Linked DNA regions of Lepisosteus oculatus. The main gene of each other region encodes a partner of the protein of the gene in region 2 in a complex. Links are inferred from orthologs where the notes say so. Each region holds a gene or a part of one and is shown on either strand. Other genes may lie near its edges. The genes, in order: ykt6 and rabggtb.

Region 1 (7,247 bases), on a different chromosome or scaffold from region 2:
TAAATACAGCAAGCTAAATATTAAGCTCATAATACATAATATACATATATAGGTACTGTACATATATGGTTTGTTGCTGCAGTTGTATAATATAGAGATCTAATTTTGATTTGAATGGGCATTCGCGTGTATCATCTTATATATTATCCACAAGTGTTTTTTACAGTGTCTTTTTTATTTAGTCGGCAACGTTAAATTGGTTATTATTCACAAATAACTACAGCAATAAAATTTGCTGATGACATGATCATAATCTGATAACCTGTTCTCACCCAGCAAAGGTACAATGCTGCTGAACAACCCAAGAAGTTGGTTTATGATTAAAATCACATTTTGAGGATCAACAAAGTTTAAAGCGGGAAACAAACATATATAAATGTACTCTTAAGCAGTTATGAGGAAACACTCTAAGTGAAGGTAATTGAAGTTAATTAAGAAATATACTAAGTGAAGGTAATTACGTTTTGGGCTGTTTTACAAAATAGGAACTTCGGAAGGTGACGTCAGGGATTTATATACCCTCTCATTGGGCGTATCAGTTAATCGCCGTTATCAGGCTAAATATTTTGAAATAACAAGCAATTCAAGGGGAAGACTGATTTAATCTTACCTTCTCCATAATATGAGGATCCATCGTACTTCCCCCACCGGTCATGAGTGCTACTGTCCAGGGGCTCGCTTGCGTCTAGTCGGGCGACCACTCCGGGTGAACAATGAGGCTGGGTGCCGTTGACAGATGGATACCTTCCCCGAAAATAACTACACCAAAAGGCTCATAATTAAAGCTGTTTTTGTAAGGAGGGATATGGACATGGAGTTTAATCAGAGCTCCAATTTCCGTTTGTCACGATAGTCTATTATTACATTTCCCCCAGTTTTTTTTAGAAAATGTTGATTACCTGTTTATCCCTGCTTCCGAAAACTACCCTTCCTCCTTAGTCTATCTGCCAAGATGGGCAAATTCACCTTGCATTTTGTATAAGGCTTCGCTGAGTTGGAAGTGATACAGTACAACAGCGGGAATATCCATGTGTTTATTCATGTTCACCAACCCTAAGTACTTTCACCAATTTGTACCCTTCCAAGCTTCTCAGAAAAGTGAGCCTTTCTTTAAGGATTAGTTTTAGTGTCCATGTTCAAAGCACTTCTGTTCTTTTATACTGTATGTGGTGCGTAAGCATCTTAGTGTTTTGTAAAGCAAAAAGTTTCCTACAGTATTAGAACTGCGCTCTACAACACCTTGAAAGCGCAAGTTTAAATTCAAGACCCCAGTGTCTTAAATACGGGACGGGAAGTTGTCGTCTGAGTAAAAGTCATCCTTTCCGTTGCCTCTCAAAGATCATTTTAATCGCATTCCATACTCGTGCCAGTCGAGACATTGGGCTTCATCGTGGTAGCAGAATATTTCAAAAAGTTTTTTTAAAAAATTTTAATTTAACCAAGACAACTTGGCATCTCTCTCCAGAGTGCAAAAACACCAACAATTCAACTCCAACTCGACATCGTTTATTTTCACCCTAAGATTTTCAAGGAAATATTAAAAAAAATCAAATTGAACTAAGATGTATTATTAAAAATCTAAACGAAAAGAAAGCGAGCATTGATCATTTTAGTCCCGTGATAGTTGCGCGCTTTAAACACGGGTGATCAATTTAACAATTCTTAGAATCCTTTCACGTGGCATATTACTCTATCTTTAAGTTCTTCTTGTTTAAATTAGCAATATATTTCCACCCTAATTTTATAAGTCCCAAGAGGGACGTACTTGCATTGATTTGATTTTAATTGGTCAGAAAGCGCGCAGACAGGACACGGTTATCCATCATCCCTCCCGTTTCCCCGGTTCTTCATTCTGTTTCCCTGGCAATCGAGAAATAAAAAACGACCCTATTGGTCTCTACTAAAAGCACTCGCACTGCCATTGCTGCCACAACCACCAGGTGCTTTACAGAGCAGTCATCCTTCCCGTTGCCTTGGCGACAACATTCTGAATCCGTTGCCCTGGAAATCTCTCCATATATGCTCACCTCTGGTATGGAAAACACTTATCAATGAAGCGAGTGGACAGTAGGAAATTGTTAAATGGGGCAAAATTACTTAGGAAAACATTGGCTTAGCTGCAAAGTCCTCAATTGCGTGGCTCCCACTCAAGCTTGACTGTTCATCAGTAAAGGACACGGAGCGATCAATACAGCGAAAGGCTGAGATCATTTCGCTCCGGCAATTTTGGGCATCGCAAAAGCTGGCAGAGGTATTAGGCTCTGGGATTGGGTGGGAGAAGTGAGAGGAGGAACTGCAGCTTTGTCAAAAAGTTGATTTCTACACGGCCAGACCCTGAATACTCGTCATCAGCGGAGCAATTCGGAGATAAGATCAAAAATCCAGCAGCCATATCACCCTGCAACTCACAACTGGCAACCCACTGAAGCTAAGCAGGTGTGAGCCTGGTCAGTACCTGGATGGGAGACCTCCTGGGAAAAACTAAGGTTTCTGCTGGAAGAGGTGTTAGTGGGGCCAGCAGGGGGCACTCACCCTGCGGTCCATGTGGGTGCTAATGCCCCGGTATAGTGACGGGGACACTATACTGTAAACAGGCGCCGTCCTTCGGATGAGACGTAAAACCGAGGTCCTGACTCTCTGTGGTCATTAAAAATCCCAGGGCGCTTTTCGAAAAGAGTAGGGGTGTAACCCCGGTGTCCTGGCCAAATTTCCCCCCTGGCCTTTACCCCATCATGGCCTCCTAATAATCCCCCTCTATGAATTGGCTACATTACTCTGCTCTCCTCCCCACTGATAGCTGATGTGTGGTGAGCGTTCTGGCGCACTATGGCTGCCGTCGCATCATCCAGGTGGATGCTGCACATTGGTGGTGGTGGAGGGGAGACCCCATTACCTGTAAAGCGCTTTGAGTGGAGTGTCCAGAAAAGCGCTATATAAGTGTAAGCAATTATTATTATTATTATTATTATTAAAAACAACTCTAAGATCCTCCCGCTTCTACATAAAAACCCTGCTGCTTATATCACGTGTTTTCCCCATATTCTACAGAGGATGAACAAGGAAACCTAATTTAGGATAATACATAACATAAGCCTATTAAAATTCACTAAACACATTCTCAATTCTAAAAGTCACAAGCAGATTTTCTGACATATTAATCTATTGACTAAAAATGAATCGGAACGTGTATGAACGAACCTATTGATAAACAACAACCTTTGGTCACACTAGGACACCGACATTATGGTAAAATCTGCTAAAGCTGTTGACATCAAACTATGATCAGAAAACGTGATTGAGTTATTAACGTACTGCAGTCTTTCGAGTTTGATCAAATCAAACAAGTACATTTTCAGATAGACTTAGTAAATAAAAAAATATTCTGCAAATCTTTAAAAACGTTGTGCATGTTTGAACTATCTGGGAAATATTCTCGATTTTCACAAATGTTGCAATGTTTCCTGTTATCCCTGGTGAGCCGAATTAAGAAGTGTCACAAATCTTTACGATTCTTTACGATACAGCGCCATCTAGTGACATAGCACTCGGTATTTGCTTGCACTGGAAAAATAAGCCATTCTGTTTTATTATTTTGTTTTAAGAAAGGGAAAGCTCAAATATGAAAGGACAACAGGCGTGTTACAAAGCTTTCTCAATAAAGAGGGTTAATTGTCAATATTCAATTTTTCCAAACGAGTCCAATTATAATTTCAGAATTATTTCACATCATAATACATTCCGATATTCTACAACGAGTTTAATTCGGAATTGCTTGTATGACTTTATTTTAAGTCGAAATTTATAATGGATGGACAGGCGCAACAAAGCGAATACTTTATTTGTAAAACTCCCTATAAAATCCAGTGTTTTGCAACATTCAAAACGAAAATACGATTCCCAAGGCCAGTTCTCGTTGAAGTAAAATCATTTCTTTCAGATGTACATATTAGGTATTATAAGAAGAAATTACTTTTGTAAAAGCAAAGCATAACGTTCATTTTCGAAGGGTCCTGAAAATTGATGCGTCTTCCCTGAGGTGCAGACCCACTTAACTCTAGGCACGGATCATGAGAGGCTCGTGTTGCACGCCGGGGGTGTTTGAAGGTAGGACCTAATTCCGCCGGAGTTGAGTGACGTGGTTCGGGGGAAGAAAGAGAAAGGGAGTTTCTTTCGGTGTTGTCTGGATCTCAGTCTCCTTTCGGAGGGTAGCTTTACAGTTCGGATTCGTCATTACGTTCAGTGCTATTTTTCTTTTTCCTCCATACCTTCAGTAGAGGAATCGACACATTTCTGCCTTGACGTGGCTGTTGGAGCTATAATACGAGTGGTCTCTAATCGTCTGAAGAGAAGCAACAGAGTAATTGGTAAGAGGAACTAAACTAATCCTTCCCCAAAACAGTAGTGTTAATAGGGAGAAACAGATGCCCGAGATTAAATCGGAGACAATAAGATGATTAAATAGTGGCAGTATTAAGTATTCCCTATGAATATATACTTATATCGCCGCTTGATCAAGACCAACTGAGTGTGTTCAGTAGTAAGTCGATGCCGTTAATAAGTATTGTTGAGAGTAAATCTAAAACACGAGACTCTGGTAACACGGAAATAACAGCCCCATTTCATATCCTTGAACTTTTGCCATTTAACGTAATGTAATGATAATTTAAATTGGACGTTATTGGTCAGGAAAATGTTGGGAGACGTAATCGTTTTATTTGTGAGAAAGTCCGTGGCTATTTTGTCTTTTGCATTTGCCGTTTAATACCACAAGGACAGCTGGTGCAAAGAGCAAATACCTGCAGCATCTCATACGCTTGTTTTAAGTCAGGAAAGGTGACGTTTCGTGAGCAGCCTGGAAGCGTAACAGTCCGACTGCGACATCACCGGTAAAACAATAATTGTAAAAAAAATTGATTACATCTTTCAGTGAAAAGCAGTGATGAATACCACTCTCAATACAACACAACACCGTAGTTCACGGTAAATAAGTGGTCAGTATCAGTGCATTCGGATTAAGAAGTTCGCTTTTCTGAAAGGACTTTCCCAATCAGCTCATGGCGTGCCTTGCAGCAAAGAAAAAAACTTCCCATGAAATTGACATTGATATTTCACTGGTGTGGCCGACAAGCAGCACCTCTTTAGTGTCATTGCAACTTTGTTTTACTATGATTGTTTACAATATATTTAAAAAGAATGTACATCTATGGGAGTATTGTGACTCTTTTATGTTTGGTCTTCTTGGCTGAAATAGACTGTTGCTCTCCAGATGAAGGAAACGTAGTCTTTCTGGTGGTGGTGGGGATTACTGGTCAGTGAGGGAAGACGTGCTGCTCTGTACTGGTTTGCTGTGTCTCGGTGTGTTTCAGAGCTTCTGGGACGCCCAGGTGATTCCAAGTGTGAGTCATAATGAAGCTTTACAGCCTGAGTGTCCTCTATAAAGGGGCAACCAAAGCCAACCTGCTCAAAGGTGCCTATGATTTATCCTCCTTCAGCTTCTTCCAGAGGTCCAGGTAAGTTCGTGCCTTTTCCCAGCGGCGTTTTGCTGTAGTGATTGAATGAAAAAATTGGCAGTCCAGTTACTGTGAATATGTCCTTCCAAACCATGTGACCTCTGTCTCACTCATGTTGTCAGTGTAAACTGACAGAGAGTCACAGGCCAAGATATAATGTGAGTTTCTCTTCTGGAGCCAGGTTCTTGTAATTCCTGGTTCAGGGAAATCGACGGTTTCACTTGAAGGGTCTAAAGCAATTGGACCCTTCCAATTAAAATAATTTTAAATGAGTTCAAGCCCAATAGTTTTGCAATTTTATCTTAAGCAATCAATTTTATTGGTGAATTTAAAAAGGCCACATGCAAAAATCCTATCTTGAGAATTAGTCTAGGAAGAATGTGATTCTGGGAGAACATATGAAATCAGTTTTTTTGTATGCTTATGTAATGGGTAGGACATTCCTACATATTGTTTGTAACTGCACAGTTTAGCATTGAACAGGAAATAAGGCAGAAAAAAAACATAATATCCATTCAGAATGTAATGCAAGATTAATCACATTCTTTATTTGTGTTGTAGCAGCAAAAGATTTGTGTACAGCAAATGTGGACCAGCGGGTATGGTTTGAAATTTCTGACACTGTAGGGCATTGAATAAAAAAAAACCCTTAAGGGGTTAAGGTTTTGCACTTAATCCAACTCATTGCTTGGTTTCTATGGAAACGAAGCTGAGTGAGAATCCCACAGCTTCAGCTTCAACAGCTGTTTCACACATCACACATTAGCAGACACGTGTTGTCACTCAACAAAAACAGTCATACACTCGAGCAGTCTGCGATTTCTATATGTAAAAAATATCTAAGAAAGGCATGAGTTCATTTTCATACTGAACAACCTAGAGATAATTATGTGTCTGTGTGTATGTTAATCCTGGCTTGGTTTGATGCGTAAAATACTCAACAGTCTGAAATCTTAATTTCATAGTTGTTCTGTTGTGATTTAGCATCTACGTTTCAGCTAGCAAACACTTTCTCAATTTCTTAAGCAATAACAAGTTACAAACTACTGACTGAAGAGAAAAATAATTTTTAGTTTTATTTTCATGAAACGGAGCTAAACTTGAATGTGACTGATTCTTGAAAGGGATTTGGTGGGTGAGAAGAACCAAGCTAATAGTGTTGTAGATTATGTGGGAACAACATAAGGGTACTGACAGTCAGCAGAAGCCTAAATTAGTCAGCACGAAGTAAACAAAATAAGTTTCCTTCTTTCCTTCTGATTTTGCTTCATATTTCGTTTTCTGATTTATTATTTGGTGTTTAGAATTTGATTTTGCAATAGTTTATTTTATGGCTATAGTTTAACAGCAATTCTCAAAGATGACCTTTGCAAAGCAAAGATTGTGGGATTAATGACTTGAACTACTGATAAAACAGTACACAACCACAGATTTGCAAATGTATCTTAAACAATCACATTTATTGGAAAGTTTAAAAAGGCCACATGCAGAAGTGCTATCTTGAGAATTACTCTAGGAAGAATGTGGTTTTGGGAGAACATATCAAATCATTTTTTTGTATACCTATGCAATGGGTAACACATTTCTAAGAATTGTTTGTAATTGTTATAACCAAGTTATTTCAAGTGTTATACTGAAACTGTCCTTGACTTACAAATGGCTTAAGGAAGTTTGTTTTATTTTAAATGGCTCATAACAGATTTCAGAGAGCAAAAGTGTGTAATAACCCTTGCTCAT
Region 2 (7,306 bases):
GGAAACATGCACCACTGCTCTTATTTTACAGTATATCAGTGATCTAGGTTCTGGTACAGTTAGCAAAGCACTTATTCTTTCAGATGGTATCAAAAGGGAAGTTTAGCAAACGGTAAAGTACAGCGTATAAAATTAAATAAAATTCAAGTCTGGTCTAACAAATTCCTGGCAGATGACCTTTTAAGATAAGTGCAGGGTTTACCTGCAGGTAGCAACACTAAATACAAACTGGGAAACACTGAGTAAGATGTTTATGTTGACACATTTACATCTTCTAGACAACGTGGGGAAGCTTTTGAAAAAGGGAACAAAGTGAATTAAAAGCAAAGGTTTTACGGATGTTATGATGAAAGTATAACCCCCCTGTAGGCCTCATTTACCATAATGTTTCCAATTTCAGTCACCATGTTATAGAAAAGATATTGCTGCTCTGGATTCAGTCCAGCAAAGATCAACCAGATGCATTCAGGACCTCAGGGAATGTCCTGCACTGACAGACTGAGGAACTGAACCTTCTTAGTTCAGTTCTACTAGAAAATGTCACATGTGGACCTGATACAAGTATTCAAAATCCTCAGAGACCCTGGCAGAGTCAAGCCAGTGGACATTTACGGAGTGAACAGCGAATCGTGAACCAGAGGCGTTCTGTGGAAATGCATTTAAAACTGATAACAGGAGACACTCCTTTACCCAAAGGGCTGTGAGATGATTGAACACGATACCCAGCCATGTTGCTGATGTCTAATACCCTGACTTCTTTCCAGAAACTGCTGGATGAGATCTGTGGCTACTAACAGCCAAACAATCTAGATGGGTCAAATGCCTCCTCTCCTTTTTACCCACCTTTCTAATGTTCATGGGATTAAAATGTGTGGTGTCATTGATGTATATACATTCGTTTTTCAGATTGTTTTTTTTAATAAAAAATGTTGGCTCACTGATTGTGAGAGATTTTAATCAACATTATTTTCTTTTTCAGATCTATGAAGGTACAGCTCAGGTCCAGAGGATGATCATTGCTCGTGAACACATTGGAAAATACAAACAGTGATTGCACTTTTTTCCTGTAACAGTCTTCCCTTTGTTATAATTTTATGTCCTGTATGTAGAGTATCAACGACTATCAATGCAAGTACGTTCTTTGCCTTCCATATTTTAAATAAATTGGTGCCTATGACACAATACGTGAGCCTTAGAAAATGGTAACCTGAAGCCTTTAAAAGCCTTTATATACTGTTATCAAAGATAAGAGCTGCATTTGGGAACTAATTTTTGCAAAGCTGAAATAAAAAGGATGTTATATATTAAAGTTTTCTGGTTGGGTTTTTTTTACAATGTTTTTATGTATCTTTAATGGGGAAGCACACATCTGGATTGTCCTGGGTGTGTTTGTTTGCCTTTGGGTAGATACTGTACCAATTCTACAGGATATTGCTGATGCTCAGAGGAATGTTCCTACTAACACGAAGGAAATAGTTTCAATTCCACCACTGTTAGTTGTGTAAATTAACGCTAAATTGTACAAATCTAGTGTAGCATGTTTTGTTTGCTAAGTGAGCAAGTTTGAGTTCATGGCATTTGTTTGCTCTGTAGAAAATAGACTTCTTAGGTTGAATTTTGCCACAAAGGAGACTGATTTTGTCACGTCTCAGATCCTGAGCAAGGATGGATCTGGTCAGTACTGGGCTGAGAGAAGCCTGGAAAAAATTTCCTGCTGTAAGCCAGTGGTGTTAAACTCAGCTCAAAGTCTTTCATGGCTGAGTGCTGAAATGCAGCTCAGTAGAAGCACAGTTACCTATAAAACACCATCAAGCCCGGTTAGAATTATTAACAGTTATATAGTCGATCGACAGCTGTGTAACTGAGAGCTCAATGAGTGATAATGATGTTTTATTTATTCAAGAACAAGCTGTACAAATGCACATATAATACAGATACCAGAAGAAAAGGTAAAGAGGAAAAGAACAACAAACTGATTCAGTTTTAAATTTCATGCTGAAAGCTGTAGTGAACAGACAGGTCTGCAAGAGAGGTCTAGAAAAGTCAGCAGCTGAAGAGTAATGCATTTGGGCAGCACGTCCTCCACGATGACTCTGTTGCCCTTTGCTTACAGCTTGGTCTTCAGCAGACATACTGTAGACACCCCGAATCATCAGATCTATTGAGATTACGTCTCCACATTGGCTAGTCCGGCCTTCCCTTGTTTGTAAGGTATATTCTAAAGAGTAATAGTTTGCTCATTTAACCAACACTTAAAAGATATTTCAGTGCCCTATATATGAGCATGAGAACCTTTTTGTTCACACTAAATTCCACATATAGACAATGCAATTTATGTGGTACAGGATTTAGGTGCTGATGCAGAATACTTTTAGTTGTTGCAGAGATGTTGGGATCATATGAGCCTAAACTCAGTCTTGACACAGTCAAGCCCAGAATAGTTCTGTTGCACCCATATCTGAACATCATAGAGACACCTGTGAAGTGCAGAAAGCACAGTGGTATTTGATTTGGTCTCCTGGTAGATCTGAATGTTATCAGAAAATCATTAATTACCTTAACAAAGGCTGTTTTAGTACTTTGTCTCTCTGCAAACCCCAAGCCAAAAGGCACAACGAGCACATGAGGAACTTCTAATTGAACTACAACTGCCCTTTCAGAATTTTTCTGAGAAAAATGCCAACTGGGAAAAGCAGTTTGTACTGTGATCGCGCTTAACAGTAGACACACACGTGGGAAGTTTCGATTTGAGTTTAATGTGTAGATATGTGGCGACAGATAAGTTGGTATCTAAAGGCGTTTTACAGAGCCAAGATGGCGGATGCAAATAAGCAGTTTCCAAATACTGTATTTGACGATTAAATTGCTTCAGACTGTGCTGTCACACATGTGAACTGTGAAACTCAGTAGTAGTCGTAATTTCTGTATTCATTAATCTTTTTATAGAGCGAGGATTTCTTTAAACAGAAAACTTATATAATTACCACCCTCCTCCGGCGAAGATTTGGGCAGGCTTTGTTTTATGACGTAGTTATTGTGGGACGCGATTCAGGGACATCACCCAAGAATGGTAGGTGCTGTTCATCGGTCTACATATTTTGTTTTCTTATATGTATATGTGTATATTTCAAGGATGAAACAGAGGCATTTGTCATATGAAATAATAATGTCTACCTACCGTTCTGTACACGTTTTAAGCACACTGCAAATAGAAGTGACATGTCCCAGAGCAAAAAGCTGTTAGACCGTGAATAGAAATGAATTTAAATCCTGCAATTTTATAAAGGTTTAAATGCCTGACAGCTAATCGCGAATGTGAGCCGTTTCTTAACCTGGTAACGCTTTGACTGCATTAAAAAATAGAATAACATCTGTCATTTAACAGAAGCTAATGTGCTTGTCCGCAAACATATCCCTGTCGGAATTTAATGGCATCTGGAGTGATGCGTAACTAGACGTTGAATCTTTTCCCTTTGTCATACAGGACGTTTGGTGTATTTCGATGTTCCGCATTATTGGTCGTAAGACATCGTTTTAGGAGATTAAAAACTCGTACGTTAAGTATGTTTTTAGAGGAGTGGTTTAGGGATACGTAATGGATAATTTAAGCGGTGAGCATCGGGAATTGTGCTACAACAAAAACCGTTTTCTGACAGTTGGTCCGTCTAACAATCTGAACAAAAAAAACATGTTGAAAAGTTAGAGCAACACCAGTCAGTATTCGGCTTAGCCAGTGGACATTTTCATATGTGTTCATATAAACGTGTACGTGCTGCAGAAAAGGCTGTCTTTTTCTGTGGGTTTTTTTCCGATACCATTGCGAATTTATCGCAGTTGTAAATAATACTTATTTTGATGCTCAGTGCAGTGTCTTGGGGGGGCATGTCACTTTGTCCGTCTGTCTAATTCCACATGTAACTGTTTGTTTTTGGACAGTTTTAGTGTTGATGAACAATACCTTGTGACCTTAAACCGCTTCAGTCTGATTTCTCAGTGGAATTAATCGAGTAACGCGTTAAATCAGTGCATTCAGTTCCATCCCACGTAATATCCCCATCCTGTAAAAGACGGTTAAGGATTTAAGTGGCACTTGTCATGGGGTGTTCCAAACACATGATCAAACATGTCAAAAACCGCATGTAAGGGTGTGTTTGTTTCCAGTACTTGTAGGTTGTCTAAAAAAAAAGTTATAAAAATATGAAGAGATGTGTCATTTCATTGTAACTATTTAATTTAAAGATTAGGAGCTGATTGCTCACAAGAACAAAACGATGTATCATCTGTGTTGTGCCAATATTTTTGTTTCTCTAGGAAATGACTGTGCACAAACTTGTTGTGTTCCTAATCAGGTCAGTCAGTGTGTATCTATAGTCATTCACAGAAATGTACATTTTTCTTGTATAAAAATGCAATAACCCCCCATCACCTCAGTAGTTATTTATGTATCATTAAGGTAAGCCATTGCAATTTTAAATCCTAAATAATTGTAATATGTTTATTGACTCATTTTATCCTTCAGTGTCCCTCAAATATAGTTCATTTGAAGGAAATAAAAATTAAGAAATTAAAAATGATTTTTTTTTCACTAAATAAGGAGAATTGTGTAGTATTTAAGTCCAGAAGGTTTTCTTCTTATAAAAGAGAAACTGTAAAGTCCACACACATAGTTCCTTGTAAAGTAAGCTTATCTGATTTCTGTAGTAAATTAATACTTGCTTTACATGTAATAATTACAATACAATAAAAATAATGACATGTTCCTAAAAAATGCACATTACTGTATATTGTTTTAAAAATCGCTCTTTGTTTGAAAATGTCTGTGGGTTCCCTTTACTAATCCTCTGCGTTATTCCAGGGCACTCAAGTTAAAGATGTCGTTATAAAGCCTGATGCTCCAAGTGTGCTTCTGTTGGACAAACATGCAGACTATATCGCAGCTTATGGTACCAAGAAGGACGACTATGTATGTATCTGCACAAGTGACAAAGGGCACACTTTCTTTTACTCTTTCCTTCATGATCCAGTAATTAGATCTGTACTTTAAAACACAGAAGCATTTAAGCGAGTAGCATTTTCAGGTGCTGCTTTAACAGCAGGAATGAATCTAGCTCTTCATGATTTAAGAGGCAGTGGTTTATTACAGCAAATCATCAGAAGCTGAAATTGCGTTTTTGTTTTTGAAAGAGTGTATCGTCTTTTAAAGAAGGGCAAAAAGTTTAGAAACCCTCTAAAACAGCCATACCTCTCTGAAACCCTTCCAGTGTTTTCTCAGTCTTGGTGAGTCCAACCCAAACGGCGGCTAAGCTTGTGATTTAGTGAGTGAAACTGACTTCTTTTTCCGTAAATCCGTATGTTTGTCCTTCCAGAAATGAGAACAGATGATAACGCTTTTTACTCTCACTGGTCATCCGCAAAAGTGGATACCTAGGAGGTGGCATTTATTAAAGACCTCCTGGTCGCTTTTTCAGTGTTGATTTTTGTGTTGTTGTTTCGGATCTCTCCCGTCTCCACCAGGAGTACACCCTGTCGGAATACCTGCGCATGAGCGGCATCTACTGGGGTCTGACGGTAATGGATCTGATGGGGCAGCTGCATCGGATGAACGAGGACGAGATTATAGAATTTGTCAAGCAGTGCCAGCATGAGAGTGGAGGAATCAGTGCCAGTATAGGACATGACCCTCACCTGCTCTATACTCTCAGTGCTGTTCAGGTACAACTCTTAAAGAGGTTGTTGTTTTTTTTCCCCTCTAGGTTTAACCAACCGATTCGAGATTCATTTTGATAAGTGCATTTGGTGACCAACTTGCTGTGTGCCTAACAATTTCTTTTTAAAAAAGCTTAGATGAAATCTGTTTTCTACCTTGAAGCATGATAGTGCCCATCTCTTTCTCTCTTTAATATGAAAAATTAAAAGACCAAATGGTGTGATTCTCATTGCTGCTTTGTGTCTAGAAAAAACAGTTCCTGGCATAAACCTGGTGTAGACAGGCTGTTGAAATAGTGTCAGTCTTCCAGTCAAACACGTTTAATCTCTTCACCTGTTTTCTATGAGAGGTTAATTTAACCTAATATTTTAAATTTATCTTGTGAGTTTTTAAGTCTTACACTCAAAGAAAGAGATATTCCCCTTTTATTTCAAAATAGCTAATTGTCGCATTTGCGTATCTTGGATTTCTGTGTTCACCGTTTTTCTGGTGTTTTTCAGATTCTCTCTCTGTATGATAGTCTCTCTGTGATCGATGTGGATAAAGTGGTTGAATACGTGAAAGGGTTACAACAGGAGGATGGATCTTTTGCTGGGGACAAATGGGGTGAGTGGATTGTTTTAGGTGTCATTTATTTGAATGTGTGCTGCTAGTCGATAGTCCAAGTGTTTCTTAAAATGTTTTATACTTCAGCACATTAAAGCAGTGGAATTATTTGTATGCTGAACTACCTGTTTCCCTCTGCTGACAGCAAAAAAGTCCTCTTCTCTAGCACTAGCAGACTTGTGAGAAATGTTTATTTGTATAAAAGTCAGATGAAAAAGCCTATATATGCTAAGTTATCCCTTCCTGTAATTATCCAATTTAAATCTTCATTATTAATGCATTATATATGTCTAGTGTTTGTTACCCTCTCGTTTTACTCAGCTTGTGACATTTGTCATTCATCTCAGACAGCGGTGTCCAGTCCTGGTCCTGGAGGGCTAGTGTGCCTGTAGGTTTCTAGTCCAGCTCAGATCCTGAAGAGCCGACACAGCTGGTTACTGGCTTAACCAGGACTTTAGCAGCTTCTCCGAGGTCTTCGGGCCCGGCTTTTTAAACCCGCAGGTGCACCAGCCCTTCGGGATCAGGACAGCCCCGATCAGAGCTGTCTCTCGTAACATTGCAATGAGAGCCTGTGTGATTTCGATGGTTCCTGTTAAGAACATCGAGTCTCTAGTTACATTTGTGTCCTTGTTTTGTTCTAGGTGAGATAGATACGAGGTTTTCCTTCTGTGCAGTGGCAACCCTGGCTTTGCTGGTAAGAGCATCTTTACAAACTTCATAGTGTCTGTTTATGAGACGATGGTGTTTGTTAGCTCTAATTCTGCCATTTTTTACTCTGTGCCTCTGGCTTAGCGTTCAGTGCGAATGACTGGTCTTTCAGGGCAAGCTGGACACCATTAACGTAGACAAGGCAGTGGAGTTTGTCCTTTTCTGCATGAATTTCGATGGAGGATTTGGCTGTAGACCGGGCTCAGAATCTCATGCAGGGCAGGTAGGTTTTTAGAAAAACCTTTGTCCTACTAAATAAGTATATTATTGCACGCCTTAGCGTTT

What was found.
Region 1: the proteins of rabggtb (region 2) and ykt6 are in contact, whole or in part, in a crystal structure (PDB 6J7F), measured with the Homo sapiens proteins. The link is inferred for Lepisosteus oculatus from reciprocal best matches to the Homo sapiens genes RABGGTB and YKT6. Residues at the interface, in NP_004573.2 of Homo sapiens: Thr3, Pro4, Gln5, Lys6, Asp7, Ile9, Lys11, Tyr37, Leu45, Trp52, Leu236, Asp238, Cys240, Arg281, Gly283, Asp284, Met285, Asp287, Phe289, His290; in NP_006546.1 of Homo sapiens: Lys60, Gln62, Asp63, Leu65, Asn83, Glu84, Tyr85, Pro86, Ser87, Leu153, Asn155, Thr156, Glu158, Arg189, Lys190, Cys194, Cys195.

What each region holds. Positions count from the first base shown.
Region 1 is NC_090697.1:70,414,243-70,421,489, reverse strand, and holds the start of ykt6 (synaptobrevin homolog YKT6), read left to right. Parts: upstream 1-4,122; 5' UTR 4,123-4,364; intron 4,365-5,366; 5' UTR 5,367-5,406; coding exon 5,407-5,510; intron 5,511-7,247. UniProt on the Homo sapiens protein: Vesicular soluble NSF attachment protein receptor (v-SNARE) mediating vesicle docking and fusion to a specific acceptor cellular compartment. Functions in endoplasmic reticulum to Golgi transport; as part of a SNARE complex composed of GOSR1, GOSR2 and STX5.
Region 2 is NC_090704.1:4,133,958-4,141,263, reverse strand, and holds the start of rabggtb (geranylgeranyl transferase type-2 subunit beta), read left to right. Parts: upstream 1-4,256; 5' UTR 4,257-4,271; coding exon 4,272-4,349; intron 4,350-4,855; coding exon 4,856-4,963; intron 4,964-5,514; coding exon 5,515-5,712; intron 5,713-6,207; coding exon 6,208-6,313; intron 6,314-6,954; coding exon 6,955-7,007; intron 7,008-7,133; coding exon 7,134-7,244; intron 7,245-7,306. Other genes in the region: acadm (medium-chain specific acyl-CoA dehydrogenase, mitochondrial), read left to right, coding at 980-1,051. UniProt on the Homo sapiens protein: Catalyzes the transfer of a geranylgeranyl moiety from geranylgeranyl diphosphate to both cysteines of Rab proteins with the C-terminal sequence -XXCC, -XCXC and -CCXX, such as RAB1A, RAB3A, RAB5A and RAB7A.